Linked DNA regions of Callithrix jacchus. The protein of the gene in region 2 interacts with the protein of the main gene of each other region in a biochemical or structural test. Links are inferred from orthologs where the notes say so. Each region holds a gene or a part of one and is shown on either strand. Other genes may lie near its edges. The genes, in order: BIK and BCL2L2.

Evidence for each region.
Region 1: the proteins of BCL2L2 (region 2) and BIK interact in a biophysical measurement, tested with the Homo sapiens proteins (2 studies listed by BioGRID and IntAct, with this or other methods). The link is inferred for Callithrix jacchus from reciprocal best matches to the Homo sapiens genes BCL2L2 and BIK.

What each region holds. Positions count from the first base shown.
Region 1 is NC_133502.1:188,642,271-188,649,547, forward strand, and holds the end of BIK (bcl-2-interacting killer), read right to left. Parts: intron 3,751-7,277; 5' UTR 3,744-3,750; coding exon 3,589-3,743; intron 2,089-3,588; coding exon 1,990-2,088; intron 1,303-1,989; coding exon 1,176-1,302; intron 609-1,175; coding exon 522-608; 3' UTR 130-521; downstream 1-129.
Region 2 is NC_133509.1:57,658,723-57,666,628, reverse strand, and holds the end of BCL2L2 (bcl-2-like protein 2), read right to left. Parts: intron 3,569-7,906; coding exon 3,428-3,568; intron 2,399-3,427; coding exon 2,318-2,398; 3' UTR 2,190-2,317; downstream 1-2,189. Other genes in the region: PABPN1 (polyadenylate-binding protein 2), read right to left, coding at 213-280, 996-1,110, 1,475-1,825. UniProt on the Homo sapiens protein: Promotes cell survival. Blocks dexamethasone-induced apoptosis. Mediates survival of postmitotic Sertoli cells by suppressing death-promoting activity of BAX.

The DNA.
Region 1 (7,277 bases), on a different chromosome or scaffold from region 2:
GTCCCCAGGTGCAGGGAAGAGCCTGATTAGAAGTACCGGGCCCCGCCCTCCCCACCAACACAGTGCACCCTCTCTGGGGGAAGAGGAAGCCTGCACCGGTGCTGCCAACCCCTAGAGAAGACCAGAGACTGCTGGAAACCAACATTTTATTGTGCACTCCTGCTCCTCAGAATCTATTCCAGTGGATTCTGGGCATTGCATCACACAGGGGTGTGACCAGCACTCCCCCTGCTGCCTGCCTGTGGGCAGGGGCAGGAGTGAATGGCTCTTCCTGGGCACAGGCCATAGTTAACCGGTAACAAACTAGGAGCCATAGGAATTCATCTCTTAAAAAACTGGAGGGAAAAAAAACCTGAGTATAAAACCTCAGCAGTGTTCCAGCACTATCTCAGAGTTTAAATATAAAAAGGGATCATAAGAAAACAGTTAAAAAGATAACACCAGTAGGCTGCCACCTCCAGGGCAGTGCCAGGGCAGTGGTCGCAGGGGTGGGGCCAGCCCCGCCCTGAGCCACAGGGGCCTCACTTGAGCAGCAGGTGCAGACCCCCACTGAACATCGCCAGCAGCAGCGCCAGGAGTGCCAGCAGCACTGCCTGTTTGCGGGACACCTGCGGGAGCAAAGCGGAAGAGTCAGGGCTCAGAGCAGGCCCCAGCAATGAGGCCCAACGGGCGACAGAGGAGTGCCAAGGGGAAGCCCAGGCAGGTGGGGACTGGGAAGGAGCTGGAGGGGTTCAGAGAAGGAGTTCAGGAGACGGGGAAAGTGGCTCTGAGGATATCGCCCTAAAGGCCAGTGTGGCCTGGGGCTGCCAGTCTACAGGACACAGGCAAAGACACCTGGTGGACGCAGGTGAGGGCAGTCAGCTGCCCTGGTGGTGGGCGGTGGGGAGTAGGCAGCATGGGACCAGGCTGCTCCGGGAGGCACCTGCTCAGGCCAGGAGATGAAAGTCCTCTCTGTCGGTGAGGGCTCTCAGGGCAGAGAAAGAAAGAGGACCCTGCACTGGTTTGTGCACTCGCAACCAGGAATCTCAAACCCAAAAGCCCGTGGGACCAGGCAGATGTGGAAATGGGACACAAGATGACAGGGAGCAGAAGGGACTGCGGCGCCCTAAGGAGCGGCTCTGACAGCCCTCTCTGACCACAGCGCAAGTCAGATACAGAAATCTCAAGGCTCTTACCCAGGACCCGGAGCTCAGGGATCTCCAGAGCCTCACTATGTCCTCCTGGAAGTTAGCGAAAACATCCACGACACCGCTAAGAACATCCCCGATGTCGGTCCGGTCGAGGACGAAAGCGAGACCCGGGCTACAGACAAAGGGGATGGGGGCAAAGGGGTTACCACAGGAACAGGTAACGACAGCCTGTACTTAGATGACATTATCACAGATGTAGGGAGCGGGGGACCTGCACCCTCCACCCCACAGCCACCTGGGCCCTTTCCCTGGGCACCTCCACCCACAGGGACCGCTCTGCATGGGCTGTTTGTGGTCAAATTCATACCGATTTCCTGCTTCCTCCCCCAGCTGCCCGCCAGCCCACTGGCCCTGTCTTCCGGAGCTGGCCACATGGAAAATAAACCCCCACTCTACAGGGCCCTGGCAAGTCACTACCCACCATTCTACCCCCGAGACCAGCTGAGAGCCCCGGCCCCCCAGGGTCTAGGATGCAAGCTCATGTAGCAGCTCCTTTTAAGACCATAGCGGAAATGGACCATCTGGGCTTCATAAGAAGGTGAGAGGGAAAAGAGCCCTGGGCTCTGCTTTATCTATTGCCCAGGAATACCCAGGACAGGTGGCAGGGGCCAGGGCCGGGAGCTGGGGGCTCCCAAGGGAGGTGCAGGCAGTAGCAAAGGATTTCAGTATAGCCCCAGAGTGTCAGGGGCATGTCCCCACCAGGACTTCCTCAGGGCCCTGTGCTGCATTTAGGGCATCCACCCCCCACCCAGAGTCTCTCCCCAGGTGTAGAGGCCCCAGCAGGGCACAGGCCGGTTACCTGTACATGGCCACCTCGTAGAGCTGGGCCAGCCTCCGGGCCCTGAGGCTCACATCCATCTGGTCCGCGATGCAGGCCAGCTGCAGGGCCAGTGCGTCACTGCGGGGAGCACACACAGGAATCAGGGGTGTGGCTGTGTCATGGAGGCCAAACGCACCTGGACCCACCCAGCCAATGGACTGTGTGCGGCTAAGAGTGGCCCAGAGAGAGATGGTGTCAGATTCGGGGCAGGTGGTGAGTGGGCCTCCCTGCATCCCTCCTCCAGCTCCCACTTGGCTTCAGAGACACCCTTGAAGTCCCATCCATGGGACCCAGATACCAGAGGTGCAAACCATTTCAAATGATCCCTGCTGGGCTGGCCACAGGGGTGCCAGAGACAGCAGGGAGCAGCCTGAGTGGGTGCCTGTCCCAGGCCCTCTTGTGCCCCATGTCTACCCATTAGCATAGTGGGCAGAGGGCTTGTGGTACAGGCTGAGCCCCACCTTGGGTGGGGAGGGGAGAGGGCACTGGTGTCTGGGGCAACTGAGTGAACAGGTGAGTCTCCCAAGGCAGCCTGCCCTGGCACCCAGGGATGACTGAACATGCAGAACTCAGGGGTTTCTGAGCTTCCCTGGAGAATCCTGGGGCAGGTCTGGGGAGCACTGTGCCCCCTACAGTGGCTGTGCTGGCTTCCCACGTGGGTTGCAACTTACCTTCCTTTGTGGGAGGTGAGGCTGTATAAGACCTGTGTCCCGGTTCCCAATCCTGAAACCGGCCCTGCTGGCACCACCCCTCTCAGAATGGGGCACACACACCTCTGCCTCACCACATCCGCTCCCACACAGACAAACACGGCCGGGTGCAGGGGCTACGCCTGTCATCCCACAGGAGGCTGAGGCAGGCGGATTGAGACCAGCCCGGCCAACATGGTAAAACCCCGTCTCTACTAAAAATACAAAATTAGCTGGGTGTGGTGTGTGCCTGTAGTCCCAGCTACTCAGGAGGCTGAGGCAGGAGAATTGCTTGAACCCAAACTCAGGGGATCTGTCCGCCTCGGCCTTCCAAAGTGCTGGGATTACAGGTGCGAGCCACTGAGCCTGGCTCAAATTCTTTCTTGCTTTATCTAAAAACCCTCTCGATCTGGATCTGGTCCCCCTTCTGCCAACAGAGCCACCTTCGAGAGGCCTTGATGTGCTCTGCAGGTTGCAAAGGGCCTGTCAAGCGAGGCCCCAGCACAGTGCCATTTGGACAGCCAGTGGCCCTAGGTCCGTCTTGGAACTGTCAACATGCTGGCTCTCCAGGGGTCTGTGAGCTGGTGGTGGGGCGGTGGAACATGGGGAAGTGACTGCAGGTCCGTCTTGGCACTGTGAACATGCTGGCTGTCCACGGATCTGTCCATCTATCAGGGGTGTGGGGTGGGGGTGGGGGCAGCAAAGTGAAGCTGCTCCCAGGGCAGAAGCCTCCATGCCCACATCTAGGGCATGTTCCTTGGGGGCCCTGCCTGGGAGGCATCTGCAGACACTCCCTCCCTCTTAGAAGGTCTGCTCATCCAGCCCACCCATGAAGTCAATACCAGGCCTGGGGCAGAGCTGGGGCCCAAGGCAGGCCACAGGGACCTACCTGTTCTCCATGCATTCCAAAGGGTCCTCCACAGGGTCCAGGTCCTCTTCAGGGTCACTCCCACCAACAACCTCCATGGTCAGGGGATCCACGAACTGCTCACACAGGAGGGTCTCCATGAAGATGTCACTGGAGAGGGGTCTTACTTCAGACATTTCTCCTCTGGGGCAAAAAGAGTACACTGGACCCCTCAGAACTGAGCAATCTGGGGCTCACTCAGAGGATGACCTCCAGGATTGCATAGCCCTACTCGCCCTCTCTCTTGATCGCTAACACCATCAACATCCCCCAACCCCAGCTCCCACAGGCATGAATCCTGCTACACGCTGGCTGTGTGCCTCCGGGCAAGTCACCCAGCATCTCAGGACTTGATTCATAAGGGCCCTTGCTTGCTTTCTTCCTTTTTTTTTTTTTTTTGAGATGGATTCTTGCTGTCACCAGGCTGGAGCACAGTGGCACCATCTCGGCTCACTGCAATCTCTGCCTCCTCGGTTCAAGCAATTTTCCTGCCTCAGCCTCCCAAGCAGCTTGGACTACAGACGTACGGAACCAGGCCCAGCTAATTTTTTGTATTTTTAGTAGATAGGGAGTTTCACCATGTTGGCCAGGCTAGTCTGCACCGCTTAGCAGAAGACCACACCTGTTCTTTGATGTCTGCTTTCTCTTAAGGCAGAGAGAAGCAAAATGAGAAAGATGTTATCACAACTCCTATTCCCAGAGAGACCATCGCGAATTCTTCTAGTGTTTTTCCGAAACTCGTGAGCTCCCAAATCCCCCTTTTCTTCAGGGTGGCCCTGCATCCTTATCCATCTAAGCCAGCCATGGCCCTCCTCTCCCCCAGGTTCCCAGCATCTCTTGCAGCTGGTGACAGCCATGTCACCCAGTTCTGGTCAATGAGGGCTCAGAGGCTGGAGGCAGGGGTTGGATGCCAGGGAGCAAACAGCCAGGGCAGCTCAACTCTCCTTCCTCCAAAGATGGAGCTGCAGCAGGTGGCCAAGAACAGCAGAGAAGGTAGGCAGAGAGCGCCCAGGCCTGAGGGTGTCCCTGAGCTGCCTCCTCCAACTGTGTTTAAGAAAAATGAACCCAAATCTGTCCTCATCACCATTCACTGAGTTTTCTGTTCTTTGACACCAAAGGCCTTTCTAACTATGATCACTGCAGATTCTCACATCAAGAAATGTTTCATGATGATGGCAGAAGGGACCCGATTCACCATAATGTACCCCACAGCATGAACAGCCTTAAATCTGGGAAATGATGATGCTGCTGACTGTGGGATGAGAATCTAATGGCCTAGTTGAAAGCCCAGCTCTGGCAGTTAGCAGCAGTGTGTCCGCTTCTTCATCTGTGAAATGGGTTAGATGGTCTGAGTACCCCTCCCTGGGCTATTGGAAAGATGAAACAAGGAACTCCTTAGTAGTCTGAACAGAGCCTGGCACACTGGGAGGAAACTGGCACTAGCCATTATCACTTTTGTGCTTCAACTCATTGTTTTCTTACTATAACGCCCTGGGTGTTATGAATTTTTAATCCCCCATGCCTACTGATAGAACGCTCTGACCTCCCACTGTCTCACTGAACTGTTTGTTCCAACAGGACACTGAGGCTTGGAGAAGTTCATGATTGAGCCAAGAAGAGACAGAGCTCCAAATCTCCCTATTCCCCAAGCCAGGGAGGACTGATGGCAGGCAGGACCCACAGGGCAGCCCTCTCACAGGCCTAGGCACAAGTGTGTTCTCATAACTTGCTCTCAGCATTAAAAGGAGAGGATGGGCTGGGCATGGTCGCACCTGTAATCCCAGCACTTTGGGAGGCCGAGACAGGTGGATCACCTGAGGTCGGGAGTTCAAGACCAGCCTGACTAACATGGAGAAACTCTGTCTCTACTAAAAATACAAAATTCAGATGGGCTCAGTAGCTCATGCCTGTAATCCCAGCACCCTGGGAGGCCAAGGTGGGCAGATCACAAGGTCAGGAGTTCGAGATTAGCCTGACCAACATGGTGAAACCCCATCTCTACTAAAAATACAAAAAATCAGCTGGGCATGGTGGCACATGCCTGTAACCCCAGCTGCTCTGGAGGCTGGGGCAGGAGAATCACTTGAACCCAGGAGGAGGAGGTTGCAGTGAGCAGAGATTGTGCCATTGCACTCCAGTCTCGGCGACACAGCAAGACTGTCGAGTAAAATAAAAATACAAAATTAGCCGGGTATGATGGTACTTGCCTCTAATCCCAGCTACTCAGAAGGCTGAGGCAAGAAAATCGCTTAAACCCAGGAGGCGGAGGTTGTGGTGAGCTCATGCCATTGCACTCCAGCCTGGGCACAAGAGCGAAACTTCGTCTCAAAATAAAATTAAAAGCCAGCTGTCGTGGTACACGCCCATAGTCTCAGCTACTTGGGAGGCTGAGGCAAGAGAATCACTTGAACCTGGGAGGCGGAGGCTACACAGTGAGCTCTGATCGTGTAATAGCATTCCAACCTGGGTGACACAGCTGGATCCTGACTCCACAGGTAAGATGTTTTAACATTGTGTAGATTGCCAGCAGCATGTGTGTCAAGGTGGCATTAAAAAGGACTTCGTCCAGAACTGCTGGCTGCCATGGGTGTCTATGCAAATAGCCATTTCCCTAAGAAAGCAGCTCCAGCCCTGGTTCGCTTTTCCCGCATTCCCTACCCCTGCAGAAAAGGCCTTCTCCTCTCCTGCTCTGTGCCCCTGTGGAAATCAGACTACCTCTACGCCCTGCAAAGAGAGAGCCGCAGTGGACTCAACTCACTGTGAGCTGCACTGAGCCTTGCCTCGATCCCCTGTCCCAACATCTCCCAAAGCACTTTGGGAGGTGGAGGCAGGTGGATCACCTGAGGTCAGGAGTTTGAGACCAGCCTGGCCAACACGGTGAAACCCCCGTCTCCACCAAAAATACAAAATCAGACAGGCATGGTGGCACTCGCCTGTAATCCCAGCTACTTGGGAGACTGAGTCCGGAGAATTGCTTGAACCTGGGAGGCGGAGGTTGCAGTCAGCCCAGATCGCACCCCTGCACTTCGGCCTGTGCTATAGGGCAAAACTCTGCCTCAGAGAAAAAAAATTAGAATGGCGGTACTAGTAACACCTATTGCACAAGACCGCTGTGAGGATGAAATGACCTGGCCCAAGAGTTAACCGCTGAGAGAGGAGCTGCTGCTCTGCCCAAGGCCTGGCAGAGCAGACATAACGTTTGCTGACTGAAGACATGAAGGCAATCTATTCCCAGAGGACCCACCATGAGGTCACTGCAGCTGCAGATCCAGGAAACTGGACTGGTTTTATTATCTTTCTTTTTCCAGCAAACTTGCAAATGAGTAGGTAAAACCCTTCTTTGGTGAAGGAAGACACACCTAGCCCTGTGTCCCCACCCAGGCTGCAGCCCACACTTGGCCTCCTACACGCTCACCAGTGGAAACACCAGTGGCCAGTCGGAAGCCCTGTTTTACCCTAAGAGGTTAGGATGCAAATCTAATGTGTGCAGAAGCAGCGCCACACCCACAGCCTTGAGGGCACCTGCAGGGCTCAGAGTGGGCAGGAGGGCAGGTTCTGAACAGAGCAGCCTGCATTTGGTGAACAGCTCTGTACTCAACAGCATGCCTAGGGCTCATCTCAGAGATGAGGAAATGCCAGCTACCTCCCAGGCCCCTCCCAGGTCCTTCAAA
Region 2 (7,906 bases):
AATCTGGTAATCTGGGGAACTAGGCCCTTTTCGTTCCAAACCCAGAGCCTCTGCTGTTTACTGATCACTCCATTACCTTCAACCTCCTTCCCACACTCCGTTCACACCCAAAACCACCACGTATCCCAGAGATGTTCCTTTCAGGACTATTAAATAACTTCCCAAAATAACTTGCCCCCCAACCCCAATCAGAGAGAGCCCTAGTTACATACATTGCCAACATAGATGGAACGGGCATCAGCCTCCATCTTCTCCTCAATGGACATGATCACTGGGCCAGCTATGAGGAAAAACATTAAAAAAAAAATATATACATTTGTTTTCTACTTGACCAATATATGCATTTCCACCACCAACAATATCCCATAAGTTCAGTGAAAGCAAAGATTTTGGTCTATTCTGTTTACTGCTGTACCCATAACCTAGAATAGGATTGTGCCTAATCCAAAGCAGGTACTCGCTAAATATTCGACAAACTTAAAGAATAAATTAATACACACTTAAAACAGTATAGGAATCTCTCCTACCTCCAATCAAGTCCCCAATGAATGGTTTACATTGAAATGCTTTTAAGAGTGAACAAAATTAAGTGGGCTGAGACTCTACATTTCTAGATTAAAGGGGAAACCCCTCCAGCTTGTTTTCTCTTAGAATCCTAACTGAAACGTCTCCGATTGGAGGAAAAACTATTAGATTTGAAGGTCAAATGCGAGCTGGCAACCTCTAAAAAGAAGGATAGAGGTAGACCAAGAACAAAGAACAGCACAATTATAACAAGGACAAAGGGAGGCAGGCACAAGGCTACCACCACCAAAATATAGGTTCTGCCTCACAAAGGTCAGAGGAACACACAACGGACTATGACCGCGGCACAGTCATAATAGCTCAGACAACCAGCTCCAGGATGCCAAGTATCTAACCCCACATTCCCCATCCTCCCTACAACCCTTCCAACCCGAGAACCCGGGCTCTGCGTGCAACCGCCAGTTACTCACCATTGCCTGGAGGTGGACTCATATTCATCTGCTTCTCTACCTCGTTCTGTAGTTCCTTTAGCTTCTCAGCTTCTTCCTCCATCTCCCTGACTCGAGCTTTGATAGCTTCCAGCTCCTAATACAAGTGGAAAGGGTATGGAGAAGAGCTTAAGAAGAACCAACGCAGGGGCTCTGCCCTGGTCTCGGCCGGAGCGCGGCCTCAGCCATGCTCGGCCATTTCCCTCGCCCCACGCGAGGGTCATGATGAAAAGAAAAGCAAGCTACCCTCTCTAGAACAACACTTGGCTCCCGTGACGCCCGAATCAAGCCAGTCGGGCCCCTTGTAGTGATCGCGGACCCATCCCGGCCCGACTGGGCCCCAGCCACGTTATTCCCCGCCCAACCCCACCCCCCGCCTGCCTCCCGCTCGCCCGAGCTCTGGGCCTCCCGTGACCCGGCCAGTCAGCCGCCGGCCTGATCGCTCGCCCTCCTTCCCTCACCGGGTCCTCAATGGCGCCGTCCCCCGGGTCACCCTCGACCAGTCCCGGCTCCTCCTCCTCCTCTTGACTGCCGGGGGCTCCCGAACCAGGCCCAGGGCCCGGAGCTCCCGGGGGGGCGCGGGGCCGGGGCGGCTCCTCTTCAGGCTCGGGCTCCGGCTCGGGCTCCAGCAGCAGCTCCTCAGGCTCCAGTTCCTCAGACTCCAGGCCGTTCCCGTAGTCCCCTGCGCCCCCCGGGGCCCCCTCCCCGGCCTCCCCACCGGCCCCGGGCACAAGATGGCGCCGCCGCCCCGGCCCGGAGCCCCGACCGCCCGCAGCCCCCGCTGCTGCTGCCGCCGCCGCCGCCGCCGCCATCGCCGCTCAGACTGGGGCCCGCCGCCCGGCGATTGGAGAGCTGCGCCGGCCACGCCGAGGACTCATTAGTCAAGCTGCCTGCCAGTCACCATGAGCTAGTACTCCATTGGGGAATATTACTTGGCAATCAAATAAGACCCCACCTCTAAGGCGGGGGTACTGCGCCAAATTCTCAAATCCCAGTAGGGGAAATCTGCCTGTCAATCAACACGCGTCCCACCTCCTATCGAGTCCTTAGGTAACAATACCGCCACGCTGTGACGACATTCCTACTTCTCCCCGGCCTATGGGCGGGCCCGCGAAGTATAGGACGCTCCGTGATTGGCCCTAGCTAGGCGACTGGAAAGGACCAATCTTCCGATCGCTTCACCGCCGTGGCCCAGTCTTACATGCCGATTGGCTCGCGAGATTCGAAGGGCTGACATTCATTTTGTGACAGGCGAACCTTGCCCCCGAACGGACTGCTGGGCTTCAAACTTGGGAAACCCGAGGTCACATGACTAGCCAGTCCTCAGGGGGCCGCCATCTTGGTACTACTGCTGGCTGGCTAGTGAGCTGTTGGGCGGACGAGGCCTGAAACAGAGCGGCCGCTTCAGGAAACTTGTATCCTGACCAGGAAGAATCAGTAGATGGGATATTGCTGAAAATGGAGGTTGTGAATGGAGCATTCCAGGAGGGAGCTTACTTTCCCCATCCAGGTTATTGGCACCATCATCCACTAGCTCTCCCACACCAGAAAGCAGGAAGGATTGCTCAGTCCAGAGCTACTTGACACGAGTTCTGTCTTTCCCGCCCTCTTGCGTAGGCCTTCTGCTCCCTAGTTCCATTTTCTTCTCTTGAATGGGCAGCTTCCAGTGTCTCCCCTCCAGTCTGCACCACTAACAGACTGGCCCCTTTTGCTGGTGAGGTAAAGTCTCAAAACTGTAAATCACTGCCTTTGACACCCCAGCATGTGATTAATTTACACCCTTCTCGTTCCATTGGGTGTACAGGCACCCAGTCTGTGCCTCTAACACGTAGTCCCTCTTCAAACCCCAGCTTCCACTCCTTTCCCAGGACAAGTGGGCCTACCTCCACTGTGCACTTAATGGTTTTGTGCTGTTTCCTAACTAGGTTGTGAGCGCCTACAGATGAAGGGCTGGATCTTATTTATATTTGCATCTCCACGGCCTGGCAATATGCCTACCACATAATGTCCTGTTGAATGTTTGTTGACTGAAGATGCACTGATTGGAGATCTGGGTGCCACCCTTCATTTCAGCCCTCAAGATTCCAGAGGAATTTCTCCTGGCAGGTTCCCACTATACCGCTGCACTCAAAATGAGACCTAGCCCTGGAAGGCAGGATTGCCACATTTTGGTAGCAATCCTACACATTTATTAAAAAGGAAGGAATGGCAGTGCTAAGTTTGCAAGAGAAATTTTTGTGGGCATACTAACCAACAGTTCAAAAGATTCATATGAGCCCAACCAAAAAGTTAAACAAATATGGTTGGCGGAGAGAGTTGGACAAGAGAAGATCCTCATTAGCAAAACAAAAAAATCAAAAGTGAATTATACCCAACTATTCCCCTCACCCCCACTTTTTCTCACAATTCCTTACCTCGAGATCTGGGGAACTTGGAGCAGAGTCACAGTCGCTTAAAATTTCACTGCAAATTACTTCATCAGCCACTTCAGCTTCAGTGTGATCTGGGATAACTAACGTTGAGCACCGAAGACAAGCTCTAAATGATTGAATGCCCTGGAAGAAAGGTCTTTTATACTGATCTTAACCTAATTAAGATTTGTTTATCTTATTGGTGCCCAATTTAATCAAGCCAACAAAAGGAGATGTGATTTTTAAAAATGTGTTTGAATCCTATTTTTGTTAAGCACCACTCCTTATTATATGATCTCATTGGACTCTCACAACAACCCCGTGAGGAAAATATTTCCAAATCCATAACTTTTTTGAGGGAAAAAGAAAAAGGCTTAATGAAGTGAAAAAACTTAGGTCTAAGTCATTGGACTAGTTAGAAGTGTGCAAGGCTGGCTGGGCACGGTGGTAGCTCATGTCATGGTAGCTCATCCCAGCACTTTGGGAGGCTGAGGCAGGAGGATCACCTGAGCCCAGGAGTTTCAGACCAGCCTGGCAAACGTGGCAAAATCCCATCTCTACCAAAAATACAAAAATTAGCTGGGTGTGGTGGCACATGCCTGTAACTCAGCTGCTCAGGAGGCTGAGACAGGAGAATCTCCTGGGCAACAGCAAGACACTGTCACAAAGGAAAAAATATAAATAATAATATATATTACATATAATATATATTCTATATAATATATATTATATATATTATATATTATATGTAATATAATTATACATATAGAATATATACATAATATATATTATACATAATATAGTATACATAATATATATTATATAATGCATATAACAGTGTGCAGGGAATTCAAAGCCAGCTTTCAAAGTTCAGATAAGGCCTGCTTTAATGCACAAAAAATTATGTGTGAAAAATGGAAAGACAAATTCCAACAATAGATAAAAGTTTAAGCAAACTACAATTATATCCAATAAAATATTATTATGCGTCTATTAAAAGGTTTACATAGTGCGACAAACATGCAAAAATAATCTTGTTAAGCCAAGGAAGTAGAATGTAAAATTGTACATAAAATATAATTACAACTATATCTGATTTTTAAAAACACTTAGGCATGGGAGGAAAAGAGCAAAAACCAGTACAATCTTTCTAGTCTTTGGCAATATGTACCAAAAGCTTTTAAAATGTTGAGATTCTTAAGGCCAGGCGCAGTGGTTCACACCTGTAATCCCAACACTTTGGGAGCTGGATTGCTTGAGCCCAGGTATTCAACACCAACCTGGGCAATATGGCAAAACCCCTTCTCCACTAAAAATAAAAAAATTAGATGGGCATGGTGGTGTGCACCTGCAGTCCCTGCTACTCCCAGCTACTCGGGAGGCTGAGGCTGCAGTGAGCCGTAAGGATGCTACTGCACTCCAGCCTGGGCAACAGAGTGAGACCCTGTCTCAAAAAAAAGAAAGAAAAAAAAAAAAGAGAAAAGCTGGGAAAGATGGCTCACACCTGTAATCACAACACTTTGGGAAACCAAGGCAGGCAGATCACCCAAGGCCTAGCCAAAACAGTGAAACCCCATATCTACTAAAAATACAAAAATTAGCTAGGTGTGGTAGTGAGCGCCTGTAATCCCAGCTACTCGGGAGGGTGAGGCAGGGGAAATGCTTGAACCTGGGAGGTGGAGGTTGCAGTGAGCAGAGATCACACCACTACATTCCTGCCTGGGCCATCAGAGTGAGACTCTCTCTCAAAAAAAAAAAAAGGTTAAGATTCTTTTTCTTATCTCCTCTAAAAATGTAATCCAATTTGTGAATAAACATTTGTGAATAAATATTTTTTATTTGTTTTGTTGAGACTGAGTCTTACTCCACAGCCCAAGCTGGAATGAGGAAGTGTAATCTCGGCTTACTGCAACCTCCACCTCCGAGGCTCAAGCAATTCTTGTGCCTCAGCCTCCTGAGTAACCGGGACTACAGGCGTGCCACCACCATGCTCAGCTAATTTTTTGTATTTTAGTAGATATAGGGTTTACCATGTTGCTCAGGGTGGTCTCGAACTCCTGAGCTCAGGTAATCCTCCCACCTTGGTCTTCCAAAGTGCTAGGATTACAGGTGTGAGCCATCATGCTCCATCAGAATAAATATTTTTATCAAAGTGAAAAAATACAGACAAATGACCAATTGGGCATTAAAATTATTGTATAGAAGTAGATGTAATTTTATATAGTCACTATGCTTTTGAAACATTTTAACATCAAGGAAAAATGCTTGCAATATAATGGTAAGCAGAATTGCAGTATACAAAATTGTATGATCATAAAAGCAGACAAAAAAATACTGAAAAGAAGTATGACAAAATAGTAGTTCTCTCTGGGTGATAGCATTATGATTCATTTTCTTTCTATAAGTTTTCCACAGTCACTATTCATTTATTTACTTGTTTATTTTGCTGCTCTTATTTTTGAGACAGGGTGTCTGTCGCCCAGGCTAGCGTACGGTGGCATGATCACAGCTGACTGCAGCCTCAACCTCCTAGCTCAAGTAATCCTCCCTCCTCAGCCTCCAAAATGGCTGAGACTACAGGCATGGACCACCATGCCCAGCTAATTTTTTCTGTTTTTTGTCTCACTGTGTTGCTTAGGCTGGTCCCAAACTCCTTAGGCTTAAGTGATCCACCAAACTCAGCCTCCCAAAGTGCTGGGATCACAGGGATGAGATACTGTGCCCAGCCCATATTTATTTTTTTTTTAATCACTGCAACTTTCAAACTTTTTCTAATAGACATGATTACCTTATGAAAAGATCAAATACATTTAGCTGATTATGGTGACATGCACCTATAGTCCCAGCTAATCCAGAGGCTGAGACAGGAGGATCACTTGAACCCAGAAGTTGCAGGCTATAGTGAGCTATGATCATGGTACTCCAGCCTCAGTTACAGAGTGAGACCCTGTCTCAAAAATAAAAATAAAAAAAGCAAACATATTTGAAAAGCTATTTGAGGGCCAGGTATGGTGGCTCATGCCTGTAATCCCAGCACTTTGGGAGGCCAAGGCAGGAGGATCACCTGAGGTTAGGAGTTCATGACCAGCCTGGCCAACATGGAGAAACCCCATCTCTACTAAAAATACAAAAATTAGCTGGGCATGGTGGTGTGTTCCTATATCCTAGCTACTCAGCAGGCTGAGGCACAAGAATCACTTGAACTTGGGAGGCAGAGGTTACAGTGAGCTGAGATCATGCCACTGCATTCCAGTCTGGGTGACACTGCACTCCAGTCTGGGTGACACAGTGAAACTGTCTCAAAAAAAAAAAAAGCTTTTTGAATGGTGACCTATAAAATAAGGTCCTTCCCTATTAGTCTATAAACTGTAAAAGAGAGGGAACTATCTTATATTTGTATTCCCTTTGCCTATCACTCTGCTCAATAAATAACTGAGTAAGTGATCTTCAGTAATGAATAATCTTTTTTTAAAAAAAGTAAAAACTAAATAAATACTCTTATTTTAATATCTTACTTGTTGTTAAAGCATAGAGAATATCAGATAAGTTTTCCTCTGAGAATGAATTTTTTTTTAATTTGGTATGTAATGACGTGAGATTCGCCCATTATAATTCTCTTTAAGTAATAATAACCTATACACAGAGGACCATGGAGTTTTGGAAAAAGTGAAACTCCAAATGATATTGTGCCCCAGAAGAGGGGAAGATGTATTACTAGAAGGGAATTGGCCAGGTGTGGTGGCTTACACCTGTAATCCCAGCACTTTGGGAGGCCAAGGCAGGCGGATCATGAGGTCAGGAGATCGAGACCATCCTGGCAAACATGGTGAAACCCCGTCTCTACTAAAATACAAAAAAAGTAGCCGGGCACGGTGGCACACACCTGTAGTCCCAGCTACTCAGGAGGCTGAGGCAGGGGAATCACTTGAACCTGGGAGGCAGAGGCTGCAGTGAGCGAAATGGCACCACTGCACTACAGCCTGACAACAGAGCGAGACTCTGTTACAGAAAGGAAGGAAAGAAAAAGAAAGAAAAGAAAAGAAAAAGATGGAAAGAAGGAAGGGAGAAACAGAAAGAAAGGCAGAAAGAAAAAGAGAAGGAGGGGAGAAAGAGAAAGAAGAAAGAAGAAAGGGGAGGGAAGAAAGTAAGAAAAGAAAGAGAGGAAGGAGTGGCTGAGTGGAGCTGAGAAAAGGAGAATTAAGTGGTAAAAATGGGTAAGGGCATCCATAGTTCTTCCCAGAAGAGAAAAGTCTTCTCACCAAACAACATAAACATTTGCTGACTTGGTAGTTTCATCCCTATTTTTATCTCCTTTCTTGAAATTTTTACAAACTACAATAATGCTCTATGATCTTAAACTACTTTGAAATATTTACAGACTACAATACTGATCTACGATCTAGAGTTACACTTTAGTATGATAGCCACGAGTCACACATGGCTACTGACCACTTGAAACATGAGACTCCAATTTGAGATGTG